Arabidopsis thaliana: one gene and its partners. The protein of the gene in region 2 interacts with the protein of the main gene of each other region in a biochemical or structural test. Each region holds a gene or a part of one and is shown on either strand. Other genes may lie near its edges.

The links.
Region 1: the proteins of SPL (region 2) and TPR1 form a complex in vitro, tested with the Arabidopsis thaliana proteins (one study listed by BioGRID).
Region 3: the proteins of SPL (region 2) and AFO form a complex in vitro, tested with the Arabidopsis thaliana proteins (one study listed by BioGRID).
Region 4: the proteins of SPL (region 2) and INO form a complex in vitro, tested with the Arabidopsis thaliana proteins (one study listed by BioGRID).

What each region holds. Positions count from the first base shown.
Region 1 is NC_003070.9:30,257,989-30,268,827, forward strand, and holds TPR1 (TOPLESS-related 1), read right to left. Parts: upstream 9,138-10,839; 5' UTR 8,912-9,137; intron 8,553-8,911; exon of another isoform or gene 8,521-8,552; 5' UTR 8,459-8,520; coding exon 8,379-8,458; intron 8,307-8,378; coding exon 8,127-8,306; intron 8,045-8,126; coding exon 7,772-8,044; intron 7,680-7,771; coding exon 7,502-7,679; intron 7,385-7,501; coding exon 7,261-7,384; intron 7,122-7,260; coding exon 7,012-7,121; intron 6,901-7,011; coding exon 6,729-6,900; intron 6,633-6,728; coding exon 6,523-6,632; intron 6,437-6,522; coding exon 6,367-6,436; intron 6,297-6,366; coding exon 6,223-6,296; intron 6,145-6,222; coding exon 6,049-6,144; intron 5,952-6,048; coding exon 5,856-5,951; intron 5,758-5,855; coding exon 5,630-5,757; intron 5,526-5,629; coding exon 5,291-5,525; intron 5,211-5,290; coding exon 5,070-5,210; intron 4,974-5,069; coding exon 4,911-4,973; intron 4,824-4,910; coding exon 4,677-4,823; intron 4,609-4,676; coding exon 4,498-4,608; and 12 more. Other genes in the region: PTAC17 (plastid transcriptionally active 17), read right to left, coding at 284-526, 632-720, 844-953, 1,040-1,131, 1,242-1,292, 1,559-1,755, 1,843-2,023, 2,101-2,166 and 1 more. UniProt on the Arabidopsis thaliana protein: Transcriptional corepressor. Activates TIR-NB-LRR R protein-mediated immune responses through repression of negative regulators such as CNGC2/DND1. Negative regulator of jasmonate responses.
Region 2 is NC_003075.7:13,680,263-13,687,105, reverse strand, and holds SPL (sporocyteless (SPL)), read left to right. Parts: upstream 1-3,511; 5' UTR 3,512-3,646; coding exon 3,647-4,177; intron 4,178-4,276; coding exon 4,277-4,510; intron 4,511-4,599; coding exon 4,600-4,779; 3' UTR 4,780-5,028; downstream 5,029-6,843. Other genes in the region: PHOS34 (Adenine nucleotide alpha hydrolases-like superfamily protein), read left to right, coding at 6,389-6,843. UniProt on the Arabidopsis thaliana protein: Transcriptional regulator of sporocyte development. Acts as an adapter-like transcriptional repressor recruiting TPL/TPR corepressors to inhibit TCP transcription factors. Required for nucellus and embryo sac development.
Region 3 is NC_003071.7:18,626,644-18,634,350, forward strand, and holds AFO (Plant-specific transcription factor YABBY family protein), read right to left. Parts: upstream 4,137-7,707; 5' UTR 3,910-4,136; coding exon 3,796-3,909; intron 3,786-3,795; exon of another isoform or gene 3,675-3,785; coding exon 3,513-3,674; intron 3,419-3,512; coding exon 3,286-3,418; intron 2,711-3,285; coding exon 2,662-2,710; intron 2,572-2,661; coding exon 2,496-2,571; intron 2,078-2,495; coding exon 2,000-2,077; intron 1,885-1,999; coding exon 1,807-1,884; 3' UTR 1,609-1,806; downstream 1-1,608. Other genes in the region: AT2G45180 (Bifunctional inhibitor/lipid-transfer protein/seed storage 2S albumin superfamily protein), read left to right, coding at 1-138.
Region 4 is NC_003070.9:8,315,475-8,322,928, reverse strand, and holds INO (Plant-specific transcription factor YABBY family protein), read right to left. Parts: upstream 5,633-7,454; 5' UTR 5,600-5,632; coding exon 5,405-5,599; intron 5,308-5,404; coding exon 5,170-5,307; intron 5,069-5,169; coding exon 4,918-5,068; intron 4,825-4,917; coding exon 4,776-4,824; intron 4,657-4,775; coding exon 4,581-4,656; intron 4,445-4,580; coding exon 4,346-4,444; intron 3,906-4,345; coding exon 3,825-3,905; 3' UTR 3,438-3,824; downstream 1-3,437. Other genes in the region: AT1G23440 (Peptidase C15, pyroglutamyl peptidase I-like protein), read right to left, coding at 729-989. UniProt on the Arabidopsis thaliana protein: Essential for the formation and the abaxial-adaxial asymmetric growth of the ovule outer integument.

The DNA of each region.
Region 1 (10,839 bases), on a different chromosome or scaffold from region 2:
AGTTGAATCTATAATTTGATCGACTTTTGTTATATCTCATCGAGATCTCTATTGTTATTTTCTTACAAAGTTCTTTTTTTCGTTTTTCCCAAATATGAACACAACAAACATGCATAACTTTATTGCTACTACGTTCTCTACTTAAGTTGGAAATATCTCCGCCACAATGGTGATGCACAGAGGAGAACCAAGAGTAATGACGTTTATATCCTTTGGCACTTAAAATCGAGTTACAACAACGCCGGTGACCATTTCCTCAGTATACATAGAGCTAGTGCAAAAATCAAATCAAGCAAGCTTTAAAACCCTTCTCTAACTCCTCCCTGTTCAAATTCTTACCAATGAAAACGATCTTATTCACTCTCTCCTCCTCTCTTCCCCATAACCTGTCTGGTGATCCTTGAAATATGTCATGGACTCCTTGAAACACGAATCTCTCCTCCATGGTGTGGACCGAGAGGAGACCTTTCATTCTGTAGATGTCTTCACTGCGTTCCATCAGTAACGTCCCGAGCCACATGTTTGCCTGATGGATTGTGACACAATTTGAAGATTAACATACGGTTTCATCAAACAGTCGTTTTATATGAGACTTTTGTGTGCCTCTCAAGCTGCATATTATCTATATTACCTTCTCAAGGTCTAAGCTTCCTTCGCAAACTATACTGACTGAAGAAACACCGGGATCATGGGTGTGATCATGAGAATGATGATGATGATCTGAGGTTTAAGAATCAGAGACTGATTAGGTTGTGATGAGAGAGACCAGAACCAACAATCCATGTTCGTAAAGCTGGAGCATGCAATCAATATAACTAAATCAAGGTTTCCTAATAAACTTACCATGTCCATCGTGGTGATGATGGTCGTGGTCATGGTTGTGATCATGATGATGATCATGGTCGTGATCATGGTGATCTCCCTTATCATCTTCATTCACAGAGCTTTCGATTCTGATAAAGCAAAGAACACCTTAATAACTGTGTGAAGCTACAAGACACCAAACTGAATATTATCATAAGTTAAACAAGAAGCAGACCTCTCTAGATCAAAACCTCCAATTCCAAGAACATAATCTAAGTCAACATTTCCGTACTTTGTTCGCGTCATCTGAGCCATGCTGTTTATTGTCTGTAGATAACCATAGCAAATACGTTAACATTATAACCAAGAATGGTCTGAGAGACTAACATATAATCATCTAGTGAAATAAATGAATACGAAGAAGATGTGAGACCGACCTTTATGCGTTGTACCACCGAACCTAATTCCGCCTCACCAACAAGATCAGTCTGCAACAAAGTACAGTCACTTTTCAGAAATTGGATATGCCAACAAAAACAATACAACCGATAACTTCTCAATATATTTGAGTAAAACATATGGATCCATCACTTAGGACGTGTCAAAACCATTTGTGCAAATGAATTTATTTGTAAACTATAAACTATTTGAGAGAGGAACGACCTGAATCTTATGATAGAAGAGATTCAACCACTCAAGATCACAAAAACTATCACATTCTCTTTGAGACAATTGTGTTCAAAACTTTGGTTACCTTGTTAACTATGATACGATCTGCATAAGCTATTTGTTCAACAGCCTCATTGACAACACCTTCGGGTTTGACCTCGTCTAGATGCAAACGAGCATGCTTAGCATCAACTAGAGTAACAACACCGTCCAGTTTGACATCATTGAAAATTTCTTCCTCGGCATAAAAGGTTTGGATAATCGGTGCCGGGTTTGCCAATCCTAAAAAGTGAAAATAAACATAAGATAGTCATTACTCATTCCCCAGATTCTCTAAGCATACTAAATGAAAATGCCCCCTTTCCCAACCTGTAGTCTCTATGACTATATGATCGAACTTTCCTTTCTTGGTATTGACTAATTCTCCAATCATCCTGACAAGATCACCCCTAACAGTGCAACAAAGGCAGCCATTGTTGAGCATCACAATATCCTCAGCTCCAATAGATTTAGAAGCAACAAGTGACCCATCAATGTCAACTTCACCAAACTGAGAGAATTCACATGAAACATGAATTAGAAAGCAACACCATTATAACTGAATTCAGGCGAGGATAATAAGCTAACCTCATTCTCAATCACGGCTATTCGCTTCCCATGATCTCTGGTCAGTATATGATTCAGCAATGTTGTCTGTGGAAAAACAAAACATTGCAGTATAATTAGTCCAACATTTCTTTTACTTAGCAGGGCTAATTTTAAACCCTAGAATAGATATGAAATGATGAGAAACACTGACTGACCTTGCCAGAGCCCAAAAAACCGGTGATAATAGTAGCCGGAATCCGGTTATCTGGCGGAATCTTAGTGGTGACATCAGAATCTTCAGTCTGCGTAGCTGAGGCGGAGACAGATGAGAATCTTTGACGGCGGACCACCGGGGAATAGAAGAAAGACGGCGTCGTTCTGACGGAAACGGTGGTAGCTCTGGGCCTGGAGAGAACAGAGACGGCGGCAGAAGAAAAGCGATAGTTGAAGGCGGCAGAGGAACGAGGAGCGGTGAAAGAGAGGAAGGTCGTAGCAATCTCTAGTGTTGATAGCGTCGCCATTTTAGTTAAAGAAAGCAAGCGAGAGGTCAATGGCGATTGGCGAGTTTAAACCTCGTCCCACTCTGTAGCTTCTTCTAGATACACACACCAGATAATTTTCACTCGATTTTTTTTCTCTGTCTCTTCTCAATATTTTCTCAAAATTACTATTTTTGAAGATATTTATCATTGTAGATATATAAGTCTGTGGGCCGTGGGCCGCATAGGCCTTAGTAATTCTTCCTTCGTATCTCAAAACGAATATCCAAACCTATCTCGAAGCTGCACGTGGCATTCAATCCTTAGTTCGTGCTTAGATTCGGAGTGCAAAATTGCAAATTCGTCCTTTTGCAAAACTGATATTTCTCAAGACCAAAATATCAGAGGCAAGCAACATCGAATTAACCAATTAAGAAGAACTTGTAAGCTATTAATTCATTTACCTTGTTAGAATGCTTTCTTCCCCCCACACAAACAAAACAATAATAAATCGGAAAAGATCTAAAACCCCCACAAAAAAAACAGAGTAAGAAACTGAAGCAGATCATCTCTGAGGCTGGTCAGAGGCAGAAGCTCCAACGGAAGGTGTAGCCGTGACAGCGCTGGCTGAGCCATTTTCAGGCGGTGGAGCTACTCCCCATTTACCTTCTGACTCAAGCGGCTCGAATATATGGACCCCTCCGTCTGACAGACCCACTGCAAACATGTTGGATTCTTGCGGATGAGCCGCTATCACCAGTGGATGGACATTCGAGTTGCTGCACAAAACATCAACATGAAGACTCAAGATTCATGATCCAACATTGCACTAGTTTATATTCATTTCATTAACTCACCTGAGAGAAGCTGGCAAATATGCAGAGGGATTGACTCTGCAACGCAATCGAAGGTTTGCAGAGCTGAAGACGCATATTGTAGCGTCCATGAAACTTGTGTATATCAATTGGCTATCACATGAGAATGTGGCATGTGTTATTGGAGCTGCTGATTCACGCACAGGCCACTGGAATCAAAATAAAGACATTTCTTTCTTCTATAAGGGTTACTCAGATGCAAGGAGAGAGAATGAACATATATAAAGACTAAAACCTGTTTCATGCATTCAAGCTTGGTTGTTTCGTATATAGCGAGCTGAGTTTCATGGACCACAAGGAAGTGTACTTGATCTTGATGAAACTGAACACGCGTGTCTGACAAAGAAGACGTGGATCTTCCCTGTGGAATTTGCAGAACCTTGCTTTTCTGCTTCTCCCATCCATCCGTGTTCCATACGCAAAGCTGCATACAAAAACCAAAAGATTCACACTAAGACTTCTAAGGATTTGGATTCTTTATTACAAAACATGAGATGAATCAGCACCTGAGCGTCTGCTCCAGACGAAACCAGAACGTTTAATACATTGGAGAAAGCGAGGCCGGTTATTCTCTTAGAATGTCCTTTAAGCTTGCTCTTAACCTCATCAACACGAACATTGTAAATCTGTATTGTACTGTCATCCATCCCGATCGCAATGATATTGTTATCTTGAGGGTGAAAAGCAAGAAACGTTGCGGCAGGAGGAGGCGGCATGAAAGTAGCCATTGTCTGCGCTTAGCCAACAACACAATTAAATGTAACAGATGAAGCATTGTTTGCATACATTAGACATAGTGCTGTCTGTAGCTGGGATTTTACCTTAAACGTCATCATATTAAACAAAGAGATCTTTCCTCCCGATGCTGACATCACGTAGGAATCATTTTTCGATAAAGCAAAACAGGGTACGGCTTCTTCTGGATTAGTTTCAGCCACATCGTTTGTCATTAAGATCCCGCTCGCTGGTTGCCACTGCTGAGGAGGTAAAGAAGCCGTTGCCTACACAAAATCTCAAATTGAATTTCATCATGATTTCAACTCTTTTGGCGATCTTAAAGGAAGATTTTAGACCATAAGTACCTTCCCAGTTGCATTACGGTCATTTCGCTGCCACTTCCATAGCAGATGAATAGCATTTGATGCCAATGCCAAAATTGCATTTCCCGAATTTGTGAAAATCAATCTCGATATCTGCTCAAGTTTTGAGTCATTAGAATCAAGCCATATAAGTACAGTTATGTCAGTCTATGTGTTAGTACCTTGGTGACTCTCATATTCTCAGGGAGTCTCAATGAACGGCACTGAGAGGGTTCGCCGACTTCAGTAAGCTTCCATACCTTAGACTTATCATTTGATTCTTCGGTAATCACTGGCTTCACATCCACCATATTCCGCGAATCTCCATTCTGTTGGAAAGGTAAGTGATCAACAACGATGATTGGACCCAGACCAAGAGATAGAGAAACTGACGGAAAAAGTATCGATTTTCGTACCATTCCAGGGATGGAAACGACAGAGGCAGGTCTCTCTACCATCGGAATGCTGTTGATTGCAGGCTGCAAATGTACATGAAAAATAAAGTGTTGAAGAAATTTCAAATTGGGGGTTAGTAATTTGCTTGTTGAAGATCCAGTGAGCACAAAATTCAGTACCTTGGAGGATTCAGAAGATAAGTTCTCGACTGTGTGCAATAGCCTTAGACCATCTGAGTTTGCCATAACCTTAATCATATTGTCATTTGCGGAAACAGCCAAGAGAGAGCCTTCCTTGTTAAATCTGATCCGTGGACTTGCCTACAAAACATAGAGAGCCATGATGGCTGCAAATGAAAACATTCGGTTCCCAGGGAGAATCGAGGTATTTGTTTGCATACCTGGAGACCTCCATCAGCATCAATGGCAGTCAAAAGCTGTATGGTGTCCATATCCCAGAACTTAATGGAGAAGTCGTCACCCGCAGCGAGATAACGGTTTTTAGTAGTATCAAACTGGACAACACCAAGGGAACGCTTGTGGAATCCTTGATAAGTTCTCTTCACAGCTCCTTCGCTTTCATTCCACTCAACTATGAACGATTCCCCATCTTTACTCGTCCCACAAGAAAATAGCCTATCCATGTGAATATAATAAAAAATAGATTTTAAATTTATTATCACTTCATGACGATACAGAACAGAACCACAACATAAAGATGATGAGAATCATGTTATAACCTAGTTCCATCAGCACTGTAGGCCATCGTTGTACACCAGCGACCAGGAGCTTCGTAGTCAACCCGAGAACCCATATTATCATATAACCATGCTTTTATTTTTCCGTCAAGAGCAGTTGAAAAGATAAACTTAAGCAGAAGAAGAAATAAACAAGTCAAAACCAAATAGAAACGAATTTCAACTTGTACTTAGCAAAAATGAAACCGTATAAATATTGCTACTTTACCTGAATGTTTTCCTTGTAGTGAGGGCAGATAGAGTAAACAGGAGCTTCATGGCCTTCAAAAGTATACCGTTTTACACCCGTTGCAGCATCCCAGACCTTAATTCACAGAATTGATTAGTCTGTTTTTAGAGTTCCAACAAAAAAAAAAAAAAACAAGAGTTAAGGAAATGAAAGAAGAAAAAAAATACTGAACCTTGATGGTTTTGTCATCACCACAAGTAGTAACACATAGTTGCTTGTTCGGAGTGGAAAATGCAATGTCATTGACACCGCCAACATGAGCATCAATCTGAAATAATAAAAAATGATTTTCATTACAGGAAATGAAAGAAATACTCCTAAAATGTTGTTGTAAACTATATCACACCTCAAGGTGTTGCCTCATGTCTTCACCACCGTGATAAGAGTATAGCTGTACAATATGTCTCGAATAAGCAACTCCTGCAGTTGAAAACGTGCGCATATGAATACTCAAATCGGTTGAAAGAGCATTTGTAATCTCAAGTCTTACCGAATAGGGAACCGTCCGGGCTCCAAATCACACGGTTGACAGAAACGACAGGTTCTTTCACCAAAGCAGCCTATAAAGACCAGAATTGTTGGTCACTGAAGTTTCAAATAGATATTAGATATTAATATTCTGGTTGATTTTCACAAAAGAAGACACCTGCAAGGGCATCGAACATTTACTCAAGTCCCAAACTTTGAAAGTCTTCTGGACTAGACGTTCTCGAGAACCGACTTCCCAGAGCCCAATATCCCCTACATTCGTACCAACTGGAACAAAGAAAATTGAAGCAAGAAACTTCTGGTTTTACAAAATTTCTGATGATGTATGTTACATGAAATATGCATACAGACCAAGAAACAGACCTAGTAGCAGAGTCTGTTTAATAGGATGGAAATCCATGCTCATGGGAGATGAGCCTTGGCTCAAAGTTCGTGCAACTGTCTTGGGCAAGTCATCAGGTGCTTTGAAGGTTTGATTATGACCATGAGCCTGCCCCGGGAATGTCATTGGTAACATGTTCACACCTAGACTCACCTACATATGGGGAGAAAGAAGAAATACGTTTAAAGTCTAAACTAGTACTACCAATTATGTAAAATTGGTATTGATAAGAAAATATATAATATTAATTAAGATTTTTCTCACCTCGTCAGAGATTCCCATAGGTCTGGTTCGCTTTGAGACATGGTCTGAGTCACCTGATGGATAGTCTACAGCGGAATTAGAAGGAGGAGTTCTCGGGTGTTTCAAGGCTGCTAAGAACCAAAAAGGAGAACATGTTACATAGATCACAGGTGAAACTTAAAGGTTCTGAAAAAAAGGCGAGGATAAAATTTAAGACTATAGTTCCACACAGCTTTTATAAAGAAACACCACATTTGATAAGCAAATAACCTTGGATGGATGGAGCACCAAGAGCAATGGGTCCTCCAGACACAGCTGGATGTGGGACAGAGGAAGGACTAGACATCCAACCAGCAAGAGGTGTCGGAACCGGAGAAGGTGTTGGTTGAAAAGGCTAAAGACATAAAGGTAAGTCAAGCACGGCATGTAAAGGTAACTATAGAGCTAGAACCAAAAGCAGTAGAAATGGCACTTATAGAAAATACGAAAAATCAGGTGGAAATTGACCTACCCCGTGTGCGCCTAGAGGAGGAAATCCCTCGGCTTTTGGTAATGATCCAAGAAGCGGATTGTTGACAGGGGATGGTGCTCGTGCATCATTTGGTAGGCGGCAGGAATGATCGACAAAGAGAGTCTTAATATCAGGATTAGGCCTTGGGTTCTTACAAAGCTGGTGTTGCCAATTTAAGCTGCAGGTTTATGTAGCCACATAGAAACAAGGAGTTAAAGTAGCTGACAAGAAGAAAATTTGTTGAAGTGAACAAGAAAGGACAAAGAATACCTCTGATTAATCAGAGTCCTGAGGCGTGAAGTTCTAAGGGTAGGAAACTGCAATTTATCACGGAATAAAGGATTAGCTTCAATCAACTTCTTGAGTTCCACCAACATGATAGCTCTGGCGGACTTTGTGTCCCCATACTTGGATAACTGCTCGTTCTCCCTGAAGTTTTCTAAGGTCAAGAGCTGAGTGATTTCCTTGAAAAGCTCCTCATTAAAAGTGGAAAACACTTTCAAATCTTTGACTAAAATATCGACAGCCTTGGGACGATCATGCCTAGATAGAAGCAGCAGCAGGTGTGATTGATTGGCAATATGAAAACATTTGATTCTTGTTGTTGTTGAGAGACACAAGTTACCTATCCAAGGCCTCGAGATACTTCTGCTTCCTAATCTCGAAGAAAATCTTCATGGAGTATCGATTATCATCAACTTTAGTAAAACCAGAGAGATACTTCTCAACCTCATCCCAGTTACCATTGTGCACCTCATCCTCAAAATACTTCATATTGAAGAAAAACCCAGATTCTTGTTCAAGCCTAATTAATAATCAATCAAGTTAATAATAATGCCTAATAAAAGACAAAAAGGAAAAGAGAGATCGGACATACTTATGAACAGTCTCTTTAAACTTCTCTTCATCTAAAAACTGTAAGATCAAGAAGACGAGCTCTCTGCTCAGAGAAGACATGATTGATTTTGCCACTCAGTCCGATAAAGCTATCAAGTCAGATGCAGAAAAACCCACCAGATCTGCATATCAATATAATGGCGACGATGATAACCTTACAAAACCATCAAATCATCCCAATTTACTGGGTTTCAGATATTCCTCCATTTAATTATTATTTTTAAAAAATGAAAATAGACACAGCCTCTTAATTACACAGTATATAACTAGATCTTTACAACTATCCTCCGGAAAATTCTCCAAAAGTCTCTATTCCGGCGGATTTAATTAGTGTTTAATTGGGCTACACAAAAATTAGGTCTTCCTAGTATTATTATTGTCCACCGAATTAAATATAAAGCTTAAAATGGCCATCTTTTTCACTTCCATGAGACAAAAACAAAAATCAAAAACCCAGAAAAGCTACGATTTAGATATTAAACCAAAAATGAAAGACCTAGATACGTTACTTGCCATGAAGAAGAAGAAGACGATCGATTTCAGAAACAAAGGCCAGAGCTTCAGTTTCTCTCTCCTGATATTGAAAGAGGCCAAGGATTTGGGTTTTTTGGACTCTCCTCTCTCGACCAGAAAGTAAGAAAAAAACTAATGGAAAAAAAAAAAACAAGTTTTCTCTCTCTCTCTCTCTCTCTCTTCAGGCTTATTTATACGAACATTAAAATCTTGCAGAAATGGAGACTTTAATTTAAAACCAAAAAATAAAAAGTGATTTTAATATGCGAAGGTGACGGATAACGGAGTCTAATAAGACAATGCACCTATCACACGATAAGGGAGCTGATTTTGATAAGCACGTTGACTTATATATAAGTACAGATTAAAGTTTAAACCAGCATATACGACTTAGCCGGCTACAATTCTCGACGTTATCGGCTCAGAATCTCTAGCTGCTAGCTGTACTCCAAGTAGACATGATCCTCTGTGTCACAACATGAGTACACCCTCGGTGAGTGCCGTCGATCTTGTACGATGAACCTTAAAGGATATTCATCCAACGGTTTGAAAGCGAAGTAGCTGCGTCCCCACATTTCCCTCATAACACGACAAAGCTTTTCCTTCTGAAATGCATCTTTAAGTTCCATTGCCCTTGAAAATGACAAATATTTACCTAAATTGCCATTTTTATTCTTGAGATGCGGTACTCGTTGAACAAAAATCACGTGATTGAGAGATAATGGAAGAGGTTATCAGTTAAATTCTCCCGACATGATAACTCTTAAGCCTTCTCGTGATTTGGAGTCGTTAATAATTTAGTGAGACTCGTTTAATTTCTAATCATTTAACTGTTTTGGATTGTTTTTGTTAATCGCATAATGTGATGTGAGCTATATATATATTGACTATTGAGGATTATAATCGAATTTATTTACTCGATGACTAATAAAATGATTTTGTTTGTTTATTCACAGCGTAATTGGTATTTTCGTTATATATATTCGACGGTTTAATTACAATGAACCAATATGTTAATTTTATAATGTGTCTAGTGTTATTTTATATTGGTCTTTCAGACTTTGACAAGAAACATCGAGTTTGACGTCATTACCGTAAAGTATTTTGGCACCAAATGAAGATCAATATTATTTGTTTTAATTGCTCAAGAATGATGATGGTTGCTTTTGCTAAAGTTATGGGTGCACAAGAAAAGTATATAACTTTTGAAAAGCACATTTTTATTCTTTTAATTTACACGGTAACACGAGTATCTCTACTTTTCTAGTAATGCTTACACAGATTGATATCTTGATTATTTGGATATAAGTTCATTTGCCGATTTAGCTTGCTTTTTTATTCAAATACTGATTAACATGGAATGCAAGAAAAAGGAAAAAAAAACCTTCTTCTTGCCATGGCGAGTGAGAGGACTACTAAAAAGAATACAGTAATTCCAAACTGATAAATATGAGTTTTTACGTGTGGAAAAAAAAAATTTGAGTATTACCTTAGCTCTGCAAGATATATTAAGAATACAGCAAATAAAGAAGAAATCAAATAAGCATATTAGATTTGTTTTCACAAACTGAAAAATCCTCAAATACATAAAAAGAAAAACACATAAAAATCCAAACTAATAAATATGATTAATGATTCACTGATTTTCGCCTGAACTAAATTATGGTCGTAAGTTTTTTGTAAAAAATTGTTAAAAAAACAAAAACTGTCTTATCGAGACTTATAACAAATGATGAAAATCTGAAGAAATAATATATATTTTTCAAATAATTATGTGGTTTGACATGTCAACGTCTTTATTATCAATCAGAAGACAGTAAGGAACATTAACAATGAAAAGGGAAGTTATAAATTAAGATGTCAATATCAGACAACTACTCGTCAATCCATTATGATACGTTTCATTATGAGTCACTAGGTACATGTGC
Region 2 (6,843 bases):
CCAGATTTCAACATTGTCTCTGATCCTGTCCCTCCATTCCAAATCTTTACTTTCAAGTTTTAACATAGAAAGAAAAAGAAAAAAAAACCTTGTACTTCCTTAGTCCTCCTTGTTCCATATCTAACTTTATACTTGTAAGTTTGATCAAGAATAATGTTAATTGTTACTATACTAACTAAACTTAAAATTAAACAATATTGAGCACATTTTCATATCTTGTTTATTGGTTTTGGTGAGATTGAGAATTGAAGAATCTAGAGACAAAGGCAAAGCTGTAGTATAGTTGTTGAATAGGGGGTCTACAACTGTACTGAGTGAGGGGAGGGAGAGAATCTCAGTTGGAGATTGAGAGATCTAAAGTAATGATAATAGAAAATCTTGGAAAATTAAATTCTTAGAAAAGAAGAAAGAAAAAATAAGATGAGAGAGGGAAAGAGAGAGGTGGTCCAAAAGGAGGTTTAAGGAAGGGTTTGCAAGTTTGTATGAAAATAGATAGATAAGGAAGATGATGTATAAAGCCAAAACTAACAGTTACTATCTTTTCTTCTTTTTCTTATATTTTCATTTTCTCAGAATTCTTTTTTACACTTCCCAAAAACTCACTCATTTATTCACCTACTCTGCCTCCTTTTGTCCTCTATATAGTCTCTTGTCTACATTTATTTTACTTCACAGTGTGCATATACTATCAATTTGTATTAGAGAGATCTCAAAGAGAAATCAAAATGGAGTGATAGGTTGTATTATGAGGATTCGCAGAGCTTTTAAAATGGCAGCCAACAACATTCTATGAACTAAGTTAAACAGTGTTATGAAACATAAATAATTTCATTTGCAATAACCAAAGAGAATAATATTTATTTATTTTCTTTGGCTCTATCATCTAATAGGAGGAGAAGTAAAAAAAACAGAAGAGAAAGATCCAATCATTCTAGAAAGGAACACAATATGCTTCACGGATCCCAAGAATCTTTCTATGCCTGCCTAAACCCAGCAATATAAATCAAACCTTCACACGCTTCGGTTCTTCTTTACACGTGCCGGAAAAAAAACCCTAGTAGTAGCCGCCCAATGACCATCTAAAGTGGTCCCCGTGATGACACGTGTCAGTTGGACCACTATCCGTAACTTAACATGAAAGCACATGTGGGGTCCCCTCTTTCGTCCTTTGCCCTACCAGTTCCTTGTCCTAGCCCACAATACAATCTACGCGGTATCTATATCAAAGTTTATCTAGCTATTTTCCGAAATAGAAAGCATATACTTCCATTTATTTTTGAACAAATTAAACTTGGTAGAAATAAAATCTTTCGATATTGATTTATTTCGATTTAGTGTAATTCTATTATCATCTCGCGTGTCATTCTAGGCTTATAGCAACAGTGTAGGTATGTTGCAATGTTGGGTTGGTCATGCCGTTTGGATTTATTTCCAGTGATTAATTCAGATTTTATTTTTCTTCTTAATTATCTACGTATAACAAAATCTCGCTAACCGCAGAGTGAATTTGCATGTCACTCATGAATGTTTTGAGTATAAGAAGTGAGTAATTTGTTTTATAAATATATGAACTTATGAAGATACATATTGAAGTTGTTTTGTTTGGGGGTAAAAAAGGTTATTTGAGTGTTATATGATAACTTTACTCAGAAAACGTACTTAGCAAAGGTAATTCGAAGTACCTTTGGAATCGAGTAAATACTGATAACTAGAAAAAATAAGATACATAATGGAGAAATAATTAAATATATTTGTATTTCTTTTTTGTTTAACAACGTACGTTTTATTATTAGCTAGTATACATTTACAACGGTTACGTAGATCATATAATAGCCATTTAAGATGTACAACATCTCATCTGGTTACTTCATTTATATAAAAAAAAAACGAAATCTCAACACATAGTAATGTATAATTACTTCAGTGGGGCTTCTCTTAAGACTTGTATTGAGAATATCCATATAAAACAAACTTTGTATTAAGATAATTAAAATTTTCTAATAGTAGGTATTGGGCTGAAGCCAAGATTAACATGGAGGCAGCTTTAAAATGTTTCCTTATATGATGCAGCCATCATTTCTACTCTACTCCGTAGCTCCAAACCCTTCTCGTAATTCACGTCTCTCATGCTATTCTTTTTGCTTTCGTCCTCCTCTCATGTGAAGCAATAACTATCTCTCGATTTTTTTTTTCAAATACCGAAAGCTAACTTTTTCAAATAAATGTCAAATATATTAATTTTCGTTTTGTATTTAGTATTTTATTTGTCAGCTAAGTATAGTGAGTTTTTAAGCTTACTCGTCGTATTTATCATATATTCATATACATATCACATTAGTCAAAGTAAATAAAAATTTGTTTTTGAAGAAAAAAAAAATACATATAACTGCGAGTCTGCGACTGTAACTGGACTTGCTTATTTTAGTTGATATGAGCTGAGTAAAATCACGTTGTCCCAGACCTTGCTCGCTACAATCGGCGAATGGTCTAACGTCCCGACACCTGTCCTCGATCCGCGGGTACTATATTCTTTGCAATGTGATGCACGCGCTGTTACTATTGGACAGTGTTTCTCACCTCACGACTGAGCCTATGCGAGTAGCGACAATCTCCGATTTGCTGTCTCCATGGTAGGGATTATCACAATCTCTGATTTTTTTTATCAGGAACAAGTAAATAAATAGCTTTGAGTTTTTGTTTTTTTTCTACATTCTTCGCCCAAAAGATGTAAGAAAATAAAGGATTTGAAACCTTGTTCTGTTGTTACTCCTTTAAATTCTTAAAAACTATAAATCATTATATCTTTGATCTGTTTCACAAACTAATCATATTCGTTGCAAAGTGAGAATTCGTCCCACTTTACTCTTTACACCGATACTAGTATTATAGATGTACAGCATAGTATTCCATATCTAGTTATTTAGTCAAAACTCTATATATTAAGAGGTAGGTTAATTAATTAAGGAGTAATTGAAGATTATAGAAAGAATAAAAAATACCATTTAATGGACAGAACCAAAGATAACTAACTATCATACTATAATGTTGAATTTCTTCCACGATCCAATGCATGGATAACAACATCAATCAAATCATACATTCATGCTATATAACATAGTTTTCAGTTACAAACTCTCTTTTTTATTTATTTCAGTTGTTCCTTTTCATGACCATATTAACATCAAATAATGCATTTTTTTCAACGTCTCTTGACTTACACCCACTAATATTGACAAATTGAACATCTATACGACTATACACACATAAGTTAAAAATGCATGCAAGTGCTAAGGGAATTTATAACATCTAAGGTTAATAAGACTAAGAAAGTATAAAATAAGAATACGTATTATGAATTTATGATATACTTTACTAATCTTTTTGAAAAATACTTTAATTTAATCTACTATAGGGGGTAAAAAGTAAAAAAGAAATAAAGATACGTTTATCCGCATATAGTACCTGGAAATAACAGAAAATAAAAACACAGGTAAGTACTTTGCCTGAGCTAGTATATGAACACTAAAGAGATACACACACACAAAAAGAGAGCAGAAACAAAACACACACACTTAAAGCTTTCGTCTTTACCTCTTCCCTTCTCTCTCTCTATCTAAAAAGAGTTCCGAGAAGAAGATCATCATCAATGGCGACTTCTCTCTTCTTCATGTCAACAGATCAAAACTCCGTCGGAAACCCAAACGATCTTCTGAGAAACACCCGTCTTGTCGTCAACAGCTCCGGCGAGATCCGGACAGAGACACTGAAGAGTCGTGGTCGGAAACCAGGATCGAAGACAGGTCAGCAAAAACAGAAGAAACCAACGTTGAGAGGAATGGGTGTAGCAAAGCTCGAGCGTCAGAGAATCGAAGAAGAAAAGAAGCAACTCGCCGCCGCCACAGTCGGAGACACGTCATCAGTAGCATCGATCTCTAACAACGCTACCCGTTTACCCGTACCGGTAGACCCGGGTGTTGTGCTACAAGGCTTCCCAAGCTCACTCGGGAGCAACAGGATCTATTGTGGTGGAGTCGGGTCGGGTCAGGTTATGATCGACCCGGTTATTTCTCCATGGGGTTTTGTTGAGACCTCCTCCACTACTCATGAGCTCTCTTCAATCTCAAATCCTCAAATGTTTAACGCTTCTTCCAATAATCGCTGTGACACTTGCTTCAAGGTTTGTTTGTTTTTTAATCGTTTTCATCAACATGATTGATATATATATAGTTTTTGCACTTGAAAAAGTTTTGATTTTTATTTATGTAAAAAACTGCAGAAGAAACGTTTGGATGGTGATCAGAATAATGTAGTTCGATCCAACGGTGGTGGATTTTCGAAATACACAATGATTCCTCCTCCGATGAACGGCTACGATCAGTATCTTCTTCAATCAGATCATCATCAGAGGAGCCAAGGTTTCCTTTATGATCATAGAATCGCTAGAGCAGCTTCAGTTTCTGCTTCTAGTACTACTATTAATCCTTATTTCAACGAGGCAACAAATCATACGGTACTAAGTATAGTCCATTTATTAATACTCATATATAGGTATATATGTATATAACTGTTGATCTTATTTGATTTAACTGGTGGGTTTAGGGACCAATGGAGGAATTTGGGAGCTACATGGAAGGAAACCCTAGAAATGGATCAGGAGGTGTGAAGGAGTACGAGTTTTTTCCGGGGAAATATGGTGAAAGAGTTTCAGTGGTGGCTAAAACGTCGTCACTCGTAGGTGATTGCAGTCCTAATACCATTGATTTGTCCTTGAAGCTTTAAATGTTTTATCTTTCTATATTGATTTAAACAAAATCGTCTCTTTAAAGAAAAAACATTTTAAGTAGATGAAAGTAAGAAACAGAAGAAAAAAAAGAGAGAGCCTTTTTTGGTGTATGCATCTGAGAGCTGAGTCGAAAGAAAGATTCAGCTTTTGGATTACCCTTTTGGTTGTTTATTATGAGATTCTAACCTAAACACTCAGACATATATGTTCTGTTCTCTTCCTTAATTGTTGTCATGAAACTTCTCTCTCCCTCTCTCTCTCTAAAGTTGTGTCAGATCTTGGGGCTTGTATCCATTTTGTGTTTCTTTAGTTAGGCAATGATCCTGTCATGATTCATGTTATCACCTAATTAATCCTCGGTTTTCGAAACGGTGTCATGCATATCTGATTAATCTTGTTATCTGGTGTGAGATAAATGTATCAAATTGCTCTTGTTTATAGCTTTTCCAATTAATGTCATTGCATAGCATATGGGATGTACAGCTTCGTTTTCGATTTATAAAATTTATACATGTGTTTGGTACGTACTGTTTTGTTTTGGATCAGAATTATAAATTTAGTACAGTATAAACTACTTTAAAAATTGGCCAATGAGAATTTTGAGTTTATCTTCTTTTTATAAGTTGATTGATTTTGCTTTGTTTATTTATAGAAAATATGAAATTTTATCAATTATTTTTGGGATGCTTTTTTATTGATTTTAGTTCGGCTAAAATTAGTTAGATGTTTAAATTTATTAAAACAGATATGCAAAAATTAACTCGATGGTTTTTTTTTTTTTTTTTAGGGGGATAAAAATCGAACTATATAGTTAATTAAAACTTAAAATGTTTTTCTGAACGGCTATTTCACTGATTTTTTAGTAGTTTAAATGTTTTTCACCGAAAATAAAAACAGAATAGGAAACAATACTATAGAAGTCTAACCAAAAAAAGTTCAATATCCAGTAGTTCAATATTTCTAAAAAGAAAATTTCTACACAAAGTTTATGGCAAAAACCTAAGTTATTATGGAGAAAACCAAGTTATTGAAAGTTATAGCGTACTGTATGTACAATCTTTCATCGTGATTTCATGTATTATAGATAAAATTATTCATTGTGGATGTAATGCAAATAGAACCATCCGTAAATCCATGTATTACGGAAAAATTATTCATCACAACTCTTATGTTTGAAAATAGTTAGATTCGGTCTTAGATCATTATTTTAAAAATACAAATAAACAAATACGATCGACAACAATTGCTCAGCAAATTTGACATACTGATAAAGTCATTGTTTGACAAAACACATATGGGCCTTAATATCAAAACACACGGCCCATTATAAAAGTAAACTGATAAGATAAAACAGTTCCCTATGATTCCTCAATAAGCAGCTGCTCAGCACGTTCTCGTAATTTTCAACTTCTTGACAATTTAATACATCCATTATCCAAACAATTAGCAATTAATTACACTTATAAATTAATTTGTAAACTAATTAAAACTGACAAACACGGCTCTCTCTTCTTCATCATCATCATCATCTTCCTCTCGATCGGAAAATAGTCAAAAGTTTCTATAAATTGTTGAATCAAAGCAGAGAAGAAGAAGAAGACGATCATGAATCCAGATTCCGATTATCCTCATCTCCCTAACATCAAGATCCACCATCCTTCATCTCCTCGTCACTCTCACCACCACTCTTCCTCCACTCCTTCCGCCGCTACTCCTACCCCAACCGCCGGTGCTCGCCGTAAGATCGGAGTCGCCGTTGACCTTTCCGAAGAAAGCGCTTTCGCTGTTCGCTGGGCTGTCGATCATTACATCCGTCCCGGAGACGCCGTCGTCATTCTCCACGTTTCTCCAACCTCCGTTCTCTTCGGCGCCGATTGGGGACCTCTCCCTCTCCAAACTCCTCCTCCTCCTTCCGCCGCTACCGATCCCGGAGCTCAGCCGAAGCCTAGTCAGGAAGATTTCGATGCGTTTACTTCTTCCAAAGTAGCGGATCTAGCGAAGCCGTTGAAGGAAGCTGGGTTTCCTCATAAGATCCATATAGTGAAAGATCACGATATGAG
Region 3 (7,707 bases), on a different chromosome or scaffold from region 2:
AATCTTGAAGCTGCGGTTTGTCTCTGCACCGCTCTTAAAGCCAATGTCTTGGGGATTAATCTCAATGTTCCTATTGATCTAACCTTGCTGTTGAACTATTGTGGCAAGAAAGTTCCTCATGGTTTCCAATGTTCTTGAAGATTTGAGACTTTAAAAGAGAAAAATCTCTTTGGTTTGCTATGTTTTTATATGTTTGTTTCTACTGTTATCTATTGTTTTTGTGAGAAAAAGCTTTGTTCTGTCACTGTTGAGTTTGATGTAATGCTTGAGCTTGTTCATGATAGAACCTTTGTTCTCTCAATATTGAGTTTGATGTAATGCTTGAGCTTGTTAATGGATTTTATGTTCTTAGTATTTCTCCTCTCGTCCATAAATGACATTCAATCATAACGCTCTTCTATTCGTGCTCATGCTTCAACGCCTCTATTTGGTTTAGAGGGTCTCTACGTGGTCTCTTATTGGTTAATTATTATCCAACCCAACATAGGCCCATATGGACCTATAAGTCCAGAACAACATGGACCACATTAGAAAGCGAAAGGGTAAAGCCGTCATTGTTGCATACAACACGTAGAAATTAGATGGGTCTAGAAGTAACGAAACACTGCGTTTTGTTGGATTCTTCTTTTGGAACTCGTAAATTGACAACTAAGCTTGTTTACTCGATGTTGGGGAGTGTATAGTACGATGATCGGAAAATGAAATAAATATAGTCGGAGACTGAAGAAAACTATTCTGAGAAGCAATTTCCGTTGGGATCCGGTGCTAAGGATTTAAATCATTTTTTAGTCCAAAAAAAAAAAGAAAAAAAAAAGAAGGATTTAAATCATTTTATTATCATCGCATTATTGTATACCAGGCCCACTGATTGCTAAGGAAACTCGTCATTAATATTAATGGGCCGAATTCTAGTAGGCCTGATAACATATAGTCACTTGACCCAAAACGTTTTTTTTTTGTTATTTATCATGCTTGCTCATATCCTAATGTCATTTTTGTTTGATTTGCTACTTATATCCACCGCTCTATATTGCACCAAAAGAAAAAAAGACGAGTTAAATTTAAGTCTGATATACACTTTTAGATTAGCTTATTGCTATCACTGAATTTTTGATCTTACGAAATAAATTTATCTTAACTTTTAATTTCCCTCTATTTTGACAACAATTGTCGTTTGATGCATGCCCCAGTTCTTATTTAATTATACCATATCACTATTATAAAACCATTAATGGGAGCAATAAGATTGAACCATATGCAACAATCTCAAGAATCAGATTTTGAATGGAGAAATTTGAACAGAATCACATCGTTTTACATGTTTTCGGGAAGCAAATGCTTGTGCATATTTCCATTCTTAGTTTAGTTTGAATTTTGAAATGTAATATGATCATTCCCCTCTTGTTTTCTCTTCGGTTAAATTTTTGTGATATATTCATTCTGGAGGAAAAAAAGCTTTGGATTAATTGGTGGTTGTAATTTCCTTTGAGTTTCTTTTACATATGGCGATGGTGTAAAAATCTATTAAAAAAGTCTGATTATTTAAATTTCAAATTCGGCTTTCAGTAATAATAAGAAAACATTTTGATAAGTTAATTAATTATACAACTACAAATGAAAATTAACTTAAGAAACCCCATTAATTAGCAAGATTTTTGATTACAACAACAGAAAAAGACACATGCATATTTATAATATATATAAATAAGTTCAAGAAAGGAAAAGAAACCACAACTTTTGGACATGATAAACCCTAAGAAATTGGATTTCAATTCCTCAAATACTTAGTCGATTATATTTATCTCTTTAATAAGGAGTCACACCAACGTTAGCAGCTGCAGGAGCGTAGAACCCTTCTTTCATCACCATGTTATCCTCTCCCTCCTACACACATGTTTAAGATATGATCCAAATCAATTGAAATTATATTTGTATATATGATATTACATAAAAGTATATGCATTAAAGATGTAAGGTATGTCGACAGATTAGGGTTTACCTGTTGGGGCATGTTGGTTTTCTTCACGGGTTGATTGTCTGGCACGAGCCCGAAGTGTATGTGGGGGAAGTGGGCCCACTGCATTACACATAAACAACATACGTACAAGACACATATCAACTTGTGTTATAACCCGACAAAATTCTTTACTCCTAATTTCAGCTATACCTACATATATGACTGTTTAATATATATACAACTAATACAAGAGCAACTATACGCATAGATAAAATCAAACCCTAGTTTCTGCCGGCAATCTAAACCAAGTTGTGATGTTAGTAGTATCAATGGCTTAAATTCTTTAGTAAAGGAAAACAAAGAATACTTAAAACGCATCACTTCTAACTAGAATTTTCAGCGTTTAAAAAAATAATTTTTTTATTGAACTAGAGATAAATATGGATTATCAAGGACTCTTTTGATTATTAAAATTTGATTCAACCAATGGATAACAGTTTAATATAAATTTTTGGGATGTGAGAAATAAGGTTCTTACATTCTTGGCAGCAGCACTAAAGGCTTCTCTGTGGCTTATATCAGGATTACCAGCTTTGATACGTTGGATCTCCTCCCTAAAATAAAAACGTGACAAGGAATTATATTAATGTTACACAGTTATGGTTAGAATATGAATGATTGTAAAAATTAAATAAGAGACTCACTTGATGAATCGGTTATATGCGGATGGGACTCTCTGTCTTTTCTCTGGAGCTGGCAATGGCGAAATTCAACGGCAAAGACAAAGCGAAAAAACAAAAACTCAGACAGAAAGAGACAAACACTCATTAAAACTACTTTCATTGTCTTTTTTCTCTCTCACACAAATACTTTCTCTCTCTAACCCATCATCACTTCATCATGTTTTTTTAAAGACAAGCCCATCTTCTAACATATTACATAGATTTTTTCTCTTTAGCTAGATTTCCGGGGGATCCATGAATCTATCTCCCCGTTTCTTTTATCGTCACTATTTTAATGTTTACCAACGCTAAAAGCCATCTAGGATATGTAGACAATCAACACATACTAAAGTTCATGGATCAATGAATATTTTAAATATACAAAATCATAATCTCTCATGTCTCCTTCTAGTATACAAAGAAAAGAAAGGTAAAAAATCTCCTTCTAGACTTAATTCAATGGTGCTAGGGTTTGAACGAGATCCAGTGAAAGTTAAATAAGAAAAGCTATGCATGTCTTAATGGCGATTCATCATCACAACCAAATTATAAACACGGTTAGCATAGAAGTTAATATCATAAAAGTGAGAAGAATTAGTATCTTACGGCGGTTAACGGGTGGTGCTTTAGGAATCTCATGTTGTTGATGAAGATCCATGAAAGATGGTATGTCATTCATAGTAGGATGTTGATTCATCATCATCATATTCATGTTAGACGGTGCATCTCTCAGCTCCTCCTACAATAATATTTATATCCTTGAGGCTTGAGATTACTTCCAATAAGCTAAATGAGACCCTATAAGATTATGTATTTGAATTTTGTTTAAGTACCAGAATATCCTGGGGATTGAAGTAAGAGTGAGGACCGAGCTGGAGCTGGAGCTGGTTAGAAGCTGGGAGGACATATGATCTCATGTTCACCGAAAGGAGATTGGTACAGCAACCACATCGGACAGTTACGGTCTTGAACAAGCTTGTGTAAGGAACATTAACCTATAAGCACACAAAAGAAACAATGAATTTAAAAAACCCCTAATCTTGTATAGATCAAGAAGATGAGAAGTTGGAGGAGAAAAAATGAGAGAGAAAGTATTGAAGAGAGGTTATTTTGTACCGCAAGGATGGTTTGGCAAAAGTTGCATTGGACATAGCAGAGATGGTCGGAAGGAGAGAAGTGGTCCGGTGAACAAACAGCTGAGGAAGGGGAGGACATAGACGACATAGACATCTTTTTTGTAAGAAGGGGAAAAATATTGGAAGCTGATCTTTTTTTGGGAGTGTTTGGGGATTTGATTGATTGATGGGTATTTGACTGATCAGAGGATTCTTGATAAGGAGAAAATAAAAAACCCCACCATGATCTGATCTTCTTGATTGTTGGGTTGCTGTGTATTATATACCACAAAGGAAGATATATAGAGAGAGAAGAGGTGAAAGGAGTGAGAAGGGAAAGGGGATATTAATATATTAGAGGGTAAAAATTAAACAACAAATGCTCTAATTGTAGCCTCTAGGTCGTCTACTATTAATTTCGTTAATTAATTCGGTAATACTGTGTGTATATATATAATGTGGTGTATTATACATTTCAATTCAGCGATACATATATTCTTTAAAGAAATTCTCCAATGGGTTATATACAATTTTAGGTTTTGAATAGTATAACAGAGTCAGCGGTAGTGAACCAGCAACATAAATGGAATAAGTTTGGATGGTGTAGAACAGATAACACAAACCAAATAAAAATAAATATGCCGGTGTTTAATAAGACAATAACTATTTATATAATTTTTCATTAAATCAAGTGGCCGAATAAAATTTATGATCGATAAAATAAACATACATTAGTTTTTTTAATAAGTTTCGGAACTACACCCTAAACACCATTTGAATAAGCAGTTCATTTTTTTCACAAACAGTTTTTTTTATACCTTTTCCGTATATTCTTATAAATTGTATTGCCACATAACAATTGAATTGTACCACCACTATACCGCACTCTTTGTTTTTATTTATCACAAAATGCATAATCTTGACAAGTGGATCCAGATATTAAACAAATGTTAAATTACTTTGAACATAATATTAATTGACAAAAGAATTGGACAATTTCTTTACAAATATCACTTCTTTTTTTTTGATAAAAATATACATCTCACTTAGATCTTTTTTAATTTTTAATTAGTCAAATGATGCGAGTTATTATTAAATCTTTGTTGTCAACATCCAATATAAGATTTCTTTTTGATAATGCCTATATTAGAAATTCGGTTGACCATGCGGTCTCACCCTTACTAGAAAACGTAGACATTAAGCATCTATACCGTTGTACCTCTAAGATGACCTTGTGGTCACAAGGAGACAAGACTGATGACAAAATAGTTTTGAGGATATTATCGCTTAAAGATGGACCTTTTTCTATCTGATCTCAAACAATTACAAACCTAATTTTGCAATCAATTAAATTTTGGTCTATACAATTAAAAGCACATGTTAATATATGAAAATAGCTATAGGCATTTATGTTTCTATATAAATAGAACAAGAAATTCTAACTAAAGAATCAAATTTATAGCTACTATACAAAACTTTCGACAAAAATATGAGATTGGATCAATATAGCGATGACCACTAAACTACAAACCACTTCATGATCAATTTTGAAATCTTAGGAAGAAGATATTGTAGTACTAGTATGAACAAGGGAAGATTGAGGCATACATTAGAAGATTCGCGAGCTTAGGCTTTGGGGTTGGGGTTGCACGTGATGACACATGTAATGTGTTTGCAAGTAAGTTAAGAAACGACGAAGCTCTTGAAAAAAAATTTAAGTGAAAAAAGTTTTAAAGCTTTGACAATAGAATTCGCAGTTCCCAATGGAGGAAGAGAAGAGAGGAGAGAGAGAGGGCGGCAGAGGTGGGGGGAAGAAAGGGACGTGTGCATGGGAGTGATTAAGCGTCGCCTCATTCACCCGTTGTTGTCATTCCTTAATTACCACTGCCATTACTTTTTCTCGTTTCTCTATACAATTCCTTTCCTATTTTTTTAATTTTTTTTTTAATTATTAGTATTTAATTTCAATTGAAACATACTTTGTTTTGTTTGTTTGTATCATGTATGTATATGTAGAGATAAACATGATGCTCCATTTTTATTGATTGGTTATCATTAGCTTTTTAGTCAATTATATGATTGTTTTTTCCCCCTCCATTTGAATATTTGGAATCATCCAAGTCTAGACTTTCCATGAAAGCGAAAGTAAATTAATTCTATTTTTGTAGTTAAAATTTCCGAGTTAACCGGCTGCTTATCAATATACTAGTTTTATATTTCCGTTTAACTTAAATCGTTATTTTGTTGTTTTAAAATATTTGGCATTTATCACTTAATAATTTACGCACGCTCTCAAATGTGTATCCGAATTTCATTGATTAGGATAAGGAAACTATATGATTTATCTTCCTAGCTATTTTCTAGATTACAATTTTATTTTTAGTTTGTATTGCTTTTGCTGGATAAGAAAACTCTTTTTAACTAAGAATTATACAAGGGAAACAGCCAATATACTAATGTAGTGTTTCTCAATGATAGTTTTAAAAGCGCCATGAATATGTACGTATATATAGGAACACCATATTGGTGAAAGCCACGAGCAAAACTCCACACGTAATTAATTTCAAACCTACATATGATTTTATATAATATTCCATTCTCATTTCAAGTATAGATGTCTAAGAAAATATCTATGCACCTACTTGCGAAAATGATGCAATGCATATATCATATATGTTTTGTCCCACCAATTGAAAATAACTCCTTAGCTTGTATATCAATATTAATTAGTATTTGTTACTAATCGATCCGAAGAATCATAGAATTAGATTATGTAATGCAAAATCAATCGTGTTATTGCTACTAGTATTTCCTGCCCCCAAACAACATTTAAGTGGTTAAGTTAGTTAATATTTCGTAATCTCACAAGCAATTATTCATATGGTTGTGCAATCCCTAACATTCGGTTACCGAAAAAAACACATTATTTTGTAAATTCAGCATAACTTAACATATGAAGAATCAAGCTCCGAAATATTGCAATCAGCTACTATTTATTGCCTCACAATTAATAACATTTAAGTGGTCATATAAGTGTTTGACAAAGAAAAAAAGGTGGTTATATCGGTAAAAGGTCGACCAAAGATGCAAATATAAAAGGCGGAAGTTTTGAGTATTAAGGCGTGCATAATTTTTGGTTATAAGGAAGGAAACGTTGAAAATGTTGGTCTGATCATACTTTACTAGAAACGTATATAATGTTAGGGTTAGCCCACACTTTTGTCGCAATTTGGGCGATGGGAATGCAGAGATAGTACACACATGTATTGGAAATTTAAATGTTTATATACATGCATGTATGTGTGTTCTGAGATCATAGGCGTGACATTGACATTTCCCTATTCTTTTCTCTTCTGATTGGTTTAGAAAAGCTTTTGCCATAAACCCCCAATCTATTTGTACATCTAATGAGAAAGTACTTACAATTTAATTGAAGCAATAATTCATACTCTCCACTTCTCATATATATGCATGATTATGAAATAATTCTTTCAGTTTTTTACTTTTCGAAAAAAGTAACTAATTAACTTGCCAATGATGTTTCAATCAATTAATTGATATCCATTAATTAAAACGAACTTAATTCTTCAAATGGTGTGTGCATAATAGATTGTCTGGGGACTTTCTCCTTTCGAGAATAATATATCATCTTTTACTTATTATATTAGTTTTGTTTTTTTTCACAAACATCCAAATTGTAAAGGTATAAACTGAACCCCACATGTCTGAAAGTAAATATTAGTGTCAATGGAAGTCAACCATCATTTGTCTTTGGAGATCAATTATAGACACTAATCAAGTTCACTACAAAAAAGTAGACAAAGCCCATTACTATATAAGAAATAGCAACAGATGTTGACAACTTTTAAAATATCATCTCACAAATTTTATGTCGTTTAATATCAAATTTATC
Region 4 (7,454 bases), on a different chromosome or scaffold from region 2:
CAATGTAAATAAGAAACAATCAACATAGAGAGTTTCTGATCCAATTGTGATAGGCAAATTGGAGTACTTCCCTTGGAAAGATTCAATACGTCCATCAGCTAAAAGAGCACGAAAACGGGGTGTTGGTTCAATAGGTCTGTCAAGCTTATCACTCAGCCAAGAAGCTACGAAGTTCTTACTTGCTCCACTATCCACTATAATAACGACTTCATGTCCATCCACTGTTCCTTTGAATTCCATTATGTTTGGCATATCAAAGCTTCTCAAATCTAAAAGTGGTAACTCAAGGAGTGTAGCAGATGTGTTTTTAGTATCTTCTTGGTTCGTCTCTAACGCATCAGAACGTCCCTCTGTTCGTGCAGTTACTGTTGATGTCATCTCTTATAGACTATTGGTTGCAAGTCAAACACAATTCAAAATCCAAACCATTTAATCAAGCGAAGCTCCCAAAGAGATAACTCTCTTTCTCGCTGAAACCGATTGCACTAAAAGCTCTCTTAACTTTTTGAATGATGATCACCAACAAGAGCTTCGACTCTATATATATATATATATATATATATATATATATATATATATATATATGAAAATACAATACCCAAACTAAAAAAGAGGAAACTGTAAATCCAAGTTAGACTTAAACTTAAGCTATAACTCTAAAGTCTATAACCAGTTAAGACTGAGACAGATTATAACAATGATGATCAAGAAATAAGTAAGAGGCTTACCCAGACAACAGTTCCATTGTTGTTCTTATCTCCAGAGACAACACTAGACTCCAAAACCTCATAAAGCTTAGATTTTGCACCTTCCCCAGCAGTGTCAAGAACACTACAGCTACCAAGACACAATCCAGAAGGCAAACCTCGTTTCTCCACATACGATTTCAAACCATTAGCTATCTTCTCAGTAGGATTCTCTGAAACCCCAAGAAATTTCTTGAAACCAGTCACATGAATCGTTATTGCTTTTGGTCCTTCAGAACCCATCTCTCACACCTGAAAATCAAAAGTTACGATAAGCAAAACCAAATCAATCCATCAGTTATCGATTTGATCAAATAGTTGACCCAGTTAGGTGATTTGATGATTAAAGATCGGATTTTTTTTTTCGTTACCTGAAATTCCGATTGAAGATAATCAAAGAAAAAAAATGGAAGCTTTTTGTTTGTTTTGACTTTAGGATTGAGGAAAGAAGAGGTAACAAAATTGGGTTTTGGGTTGTTGTTGTTGTTGTTGTTGTGGCGAATAATAGAGATTTCGCGGTGGACTTTATTATAAACACGACGCCAAAGGTTCGCCCACAGATTATGAATTTATTTACGAGAAAATGCCACTAAAGGCCGGAGAATGAAACGTCTCCGACACCGTCTGAGGTAATCGATGACAGGGAAGAATGATGACGTGGCGTATTGTTATTGGTAGAAGTTTAAGAAGTTGCGATTCCGGCACATTAATTAGTTGTTGAAGGGGGATTTACGAAATTACCCCTGTTATTAGATAGGGAAAACGTGCAGATAATAATATTCTACTAACTCCATTTGTTAAAGAAAATTAAGAAATGCTTTTTCAATAGTGGTGAGTGGTGACGTCAAAAAGATAATATGAAATTAGGAGAAGCAAACCTTTTTAAAAAATGTATTTTGAAATGATACCCTATCTTTGAAAACTTTTAGAGAATTCATCCTTTTCAGCTGGAAAATTATAACCTTAACCAATACCAAAATCCAAAAATATTTCAGAATACACAAAGAAATATCAGTTTAGCTCAAAATAAAAAAACGTGAAAACAAATTTAAACATGGCATGGAAGATGTTTAAGTTTTCCAGTAAAGGATCGTTAACATGTACATACATAGAGAATTTTGAATAAAGTATATATAACAAATAATTTACACCAATATCTAAAATGCAATGTCAACCTCTTAATTATGATTTTCCTTAATAATTTTGTTCGTACGGTCAGAGCCGTCCGTAGTGTAAAGCAAACAAAAACAAATTAAGCTCATTGACAAGTATATTAGTTCTTTATCCGAAAAAAAACACTCTTCTGATATAATTTTTTTCTTCTTATTATCCCCTCGCCGTGACAAAAGACTAACGAGTTTAATTTTTGATCGGTTCAGGTTTAAGTTTTAACTATGGTTTCTTTAGATTCATGAGATCCACTGGCAGTTTACTGCAAAAAAAGTCAATGATATAATAAAGGATTCCGATAGATCCAACTCTTGATTTTCATGCATTTGCAAGATCAGACTTGCTCTGGTTTTTTAAGCTAAAAGAAAAAAGTGCATGTTAATATAGTTTAGGATGAAGTAATTTATACTGTCAAAGTAACTTCAATCATGGAAATTGATTTCTTTAGCTTTCTTGTTTCGTGAATATTGATGGTTATATATTTTATATACTAGTAACTTAGAAAGATCAAATTAATAATAATTTGTGTAAAGAATGGAGGACTCTAAAACCTCTTCATTCTCTCTAAAAGTAGATCTAGATCTCAGTTTGCGTTGGCTGGCTTTGGTGGCTTCCATAGCGCCGGAGCTATGCGTCTCTTGCTCTGTTGTAAAGTTTATGTTGCTTTTACTTAGTTTATGTGCGTTGTGGTGTAGGGATTTTCGAATGGTTCTTAGATGGCTTATGTTGTTTTTGTGGGTTGGTCTATGTTGCTAGTAGCGCCTCTTGATCCGGTCATGTTTTAGCCTTCTTCTCGTTTAGCCTCTTACCAGGCTTGGTGGTTGCTTTCGTTTCTGTCCGGTTCGATCTCCTCCCGTTTTTCTTTTTCGGTGTGGTCCGAATTGATTTGGTTCTCTCCTTGTCTCTACTCTAAAGATCTGATCGAGATCTCATCTGTTCATTGGCTGGTTTCCTTCGAGGCGCTAAACAATCATATTCTTTAATTCGCCGATTCCGGGAGTGTAGGTGTGACTTGTCGTCTTTGGCCTAGTTCTTCTCGCCGGTATGGATTCCTTGGAACTCTTCTATGTAAGGTAGTCTTCATCGTAATAGGTGGCACCGCTGTCCGTTTGGTTGGGAGTTCCTTGTCTCCTACGGAGTGGCTTGTTGTAAAGCTCTGCCTTTCCTTTGTCTGGTAATGTGGTTGACGAGATGTTGTGTTTAAAATTTTGGTTGTTTTGGTCTGCTTCTTTGTTTCAGTTTCGCAACTTTGCTTTGTTTGTAAGGTTTGTTTTGCCTTGTTGTCTCCCTTTCCTTTGGGTTTTGCTTCCAAGACTATCCTTTTAATCGTCGGCTTAGTTTTCTGGTGTTACTTGTTAACCGCCGGCTTTATATTTCACTTTTGTATTTCACCGGAATCTCTATAATAAATTTTCAGACGACAAAAAAAAAAAGTAACTTAGAAAGGTCAAATGTCAAAACAAAAAGTGTTTTTTTTTTAGTAAGTGTTTTTCTCCATCGTACGTACAAAAGCATTGAGCGCGCGAAGTCAAGAAGGATCTTTATTATGATAGGTTAACAAAGATTCTTACTAAAGTACTGTTTCATGGAATGTTAAAACATTCATGGAATAAGAGTAGTCATGAATGCAAAAGTAGAATTTTTTTTATAGAGTCAATGCATGTCTCTTCAAATTAAGTTCAAAGTTGACAAGTACTACGAAATTACTGAACAAACTCGCTCATTCCCAAGGACTCTTCTCGAACACACACAAATCCTACTTCCGTTTCAGATTCTTCTTCTCTCTATCTCTCTCCAACAACAGAAACCCTAAACCAACATAATCAAACCCTAGAAGAAAAGAGTCACCATCACATGTCATACGCCATTATTTATTTTTTTGTTAAATTTTCATATCCCAAATTGTTATTACTCAAATGGAGATTTTCCCCAAATGGAATGCCTCTGAGCCTTTCTCTCTCGGAACCCATTATTGCTTTCTTCATGGTCCTGCATCACAAACATTTCAACAATTATTTGGTATATTAATTGAAAACTATACATATTCAGCTTCAATGTTTTAAATTAGTTGAATGGGTTTCTATAAAAGTAAACTGTGTGCAGTGTAAGCTTCAATACTATAAAAGGGTTTAGGTCATAAATTTCACACATTGTAGTAGTTGAAGATCAATGATATATTCTCACAATCTCACTTACCCTTCTCCTTGCTTTCACTCTAATAATTAGTAAATGATTTCTCTTTATATAATTAGTCTAGCTAGGGTTCTGAAATTTTGACTGAGAGCGATGCTATTTGGATCTAGTTAATGCTTTAATTATTTGGTTTGCTTTGGAAAATGACACTTGTTGTGGAGTTTACTTGTCAAGAATATGGTAATTGATTTTGAAGCGAAAGTGATTAAAAAATATAAATGGTTGCTGAGGATTACCTCAAAAACATTGCATGGTAGTATCGCATTGTTATCTTCCTCACAAAAACATTGATCTGAAGCAGCTCTCTTGTTGTGAGCTGGAGGAAAATGGGCCCACTTCGCCATCCCCAAATCAAAAAATTGAAATCATAAAATGTTATTAGCTAACTCGATCTGTCAATTAAGCTAACAAAAAGATGAAAACTATATTAGGGTTTTCTTTTAAATCTTAAGACTAATTAAGCTTAAGTACATTTTTGGCAGCTAAGCTGAAAGCTTCCTTGTGAGCCATGCTTGGATTCTGAGCCTTTAACCTCCTGATCTCTTCCCTGCTCCAATACAACCCCCAAAGAAGAACCATTTTACAAACTCAAAACCTTAAGTGGTTAAATTTGTAAGAATATATATAATATACATACACATGTAATGTGTTGAATTTATTTCTTACTTGATGAAGCAATTGTAAGCTGAAGGAGCTCTTTGTCGCTTCTCAGGTGCTATATATATACAAACTCAAAACATAATTAGACGACTGATGAAAGGAGAAATCGCAAAACTAAAGTTTAAGTTGAATTTATACTCAAACGTACGTTTATTGACAACTTGGTAAACACGAGACACATCTTCATCTTCATTGTCTGAAGATGAAACCAAAGTCGTTGGACTGTTCTCCTTCTCCTGATTCACCTTCCATGCTTCTTCTTCCACACCATCTGTAGCTGCAACCTCCTCTTTCCCGGTCTGCACATATATTTACATATAATCAAAAGTAAGTATATATATATATATATTGGTCATATTTAGATGGTGTGTGTTTGTCTATGTATAGATGTTATGGAAACCTCATCAAGATGGGAGAGAGAAGCAAGGAGATGGAGAGGAATGAAGGAAGCCTTCATCAAATTGACAGAGAGAAGGCTTGTGCAATGCCCACATCTCACAGTCACCACCATTGACAAGCTTGTAAACGGTACACTCACCTGCAACACATTTACACTCATTAAACTCATGATCATATATATAAAGAGAGGAAGGGAGAAAGGAAGGGAGAGAATAAGAGAAGAAGTTAAGGTATACCAGCAAAATAGTGGTGCAAAAACCACACTGGACATGGCAAATCTGCCCCGGCAGATCAAATAGATGGTTGAGTGTTGTCGTCATGTTGGGGAGCTTTGTCATAGAGAGTGTGTGTGTACGATGAATGATAGGAGATATATGTGTGTGTGTGTGTGTGTATATATAGACAGAGAGATAGGTTTTGTTAATATTCATTAATGCAAATATGTAATTATATTTATATCTTTCATGTGGAATGCTTTGGTTATATGCTAAAATGCACAATACAATTCAACTTATGTACGTCTCTATCTCACTTGTAATAATTGGAATCTTCATAGTCTCTATGAGCTGTAAGCAGTAAATGATTCTCATTCTTTCTATTAATCACATTCCTAACTCCTTAATATTCAAACTACATTTTCTTCTCTAAAATAAAATAAAATAAAATGATGTATATAATACTTTTGTTGATGATGGAGTTTAATTAAGAATTTTCGTTATACAAAAGCATTGTTATAAGATTTTTATGTTATGTCACACTCACAAAATATATATGACAAATGATACATAACGTTTGAGCGTTTACCATTAGAGGAGACATTTTTTGTTGTCAAAACAATTTAAAACACTTAATAACCTATAAACAGAAAATATATAAGCTCCCTTCAAAAACCATTTCAGGATTTTTCTGATAAATAAGCATACAAGATAATATGTGTTATTGTAAGATAACACTAGGTTAAACAAAAAAATAACAAGAGATAAAAATCGATGGTAAAGAGTATGAGTATTAAAAATGAACATGTGAAAATGGAAAGGCACGTTGCACAAGAGGAGATAGATAGACATCGAAGAGAGCTGGGGTTAATAAATGATGTGATGTGGTGGTGTGGTTTGGTTTGCAAGTTAGAAAGAAAGAAAAAAACAAGTGAGGTTGAGAAAGAAATGCCTCTTTGTCTCATGTGTAGTTGTCTCTTTAAATGGGATTTAATGAATCTCTCACAAAACTCAACAGTCTTTTGGAGTTTTGGTTGAAGTGAGACTGAAAATGAAAGTGCAGTGAGTTGAGACTAGTGCGGGTGTTTCTAGGAGACTCATCACTTTTAGTAACTCGGAATCTTAGGATTTTGTCTTTCTTCTCTCACATTTTTGCTAACTGTTTCTTGACCATTTTACCCAAACTCTTCTCTCTCTCTCTCTCTCTATTTCTTCAAGTTTCAGTGCTTTCTCTCTGTGTCATGTTATTTCTACTGTCCCTCTCTTTATTGCTTTCTCTCTCTCTCACTTACTCTCATCTCCTATTTTGTGTTCAACCACAAGAAAAAGACTAAACATAATACTAATATTTACTCAATTTCCTACACATTTGTAATTTTTGTGTGGGTGGAATCCAATGCAATGACCCAACCCCGGAGTGAACAAGTTTCGACCCATTTTGAGAGATCACATAATTTACCGACCCATTAATAAGTTTCGATCCATTTTCATAAGCCTATTGATGAGTAATTGAGTAGGAGGTACACATTTGTGATTTGAGAGATTAGAGGTTAAAATTATACATTGTAATCATAGTTATGGCTTCTGGTTTAACAGTCTTTTACTCCATATATACTGATATACATCTCATTTCTAGTCTCAAACTTTTACATGACAGCTTATAGATTGGTCAAATCTCACTGTTAACATAAATAGAAGCTGTGAAATGACGATAAAATGTGCAAAGACAAACGCACGTTAATGTCAAACACATAATCAATATCTGAGAGAATTTAAACTTATCTTAGCAAACAAGTTATCAGAGCCAACAACAACAAAACTTCAAGACATTGGTGTAAGAATATGATCAGAATCAACATAATGGCTAAATTTTGCCTTGCACTAATCCAGGTTAAAACTAAAACAATGTCGCAAAGAATTGTTCCAACACAACGTCCTAATTCTACAGCCACAATTCAACATTTCCACATCAGTCAAAGCATAATGAAACAAAAAAAAAATTGATCAAATTTCTAATCAAAGATAATATAATGTATTATGCAACAATTAAACCATCCCTCAATAGTATAAA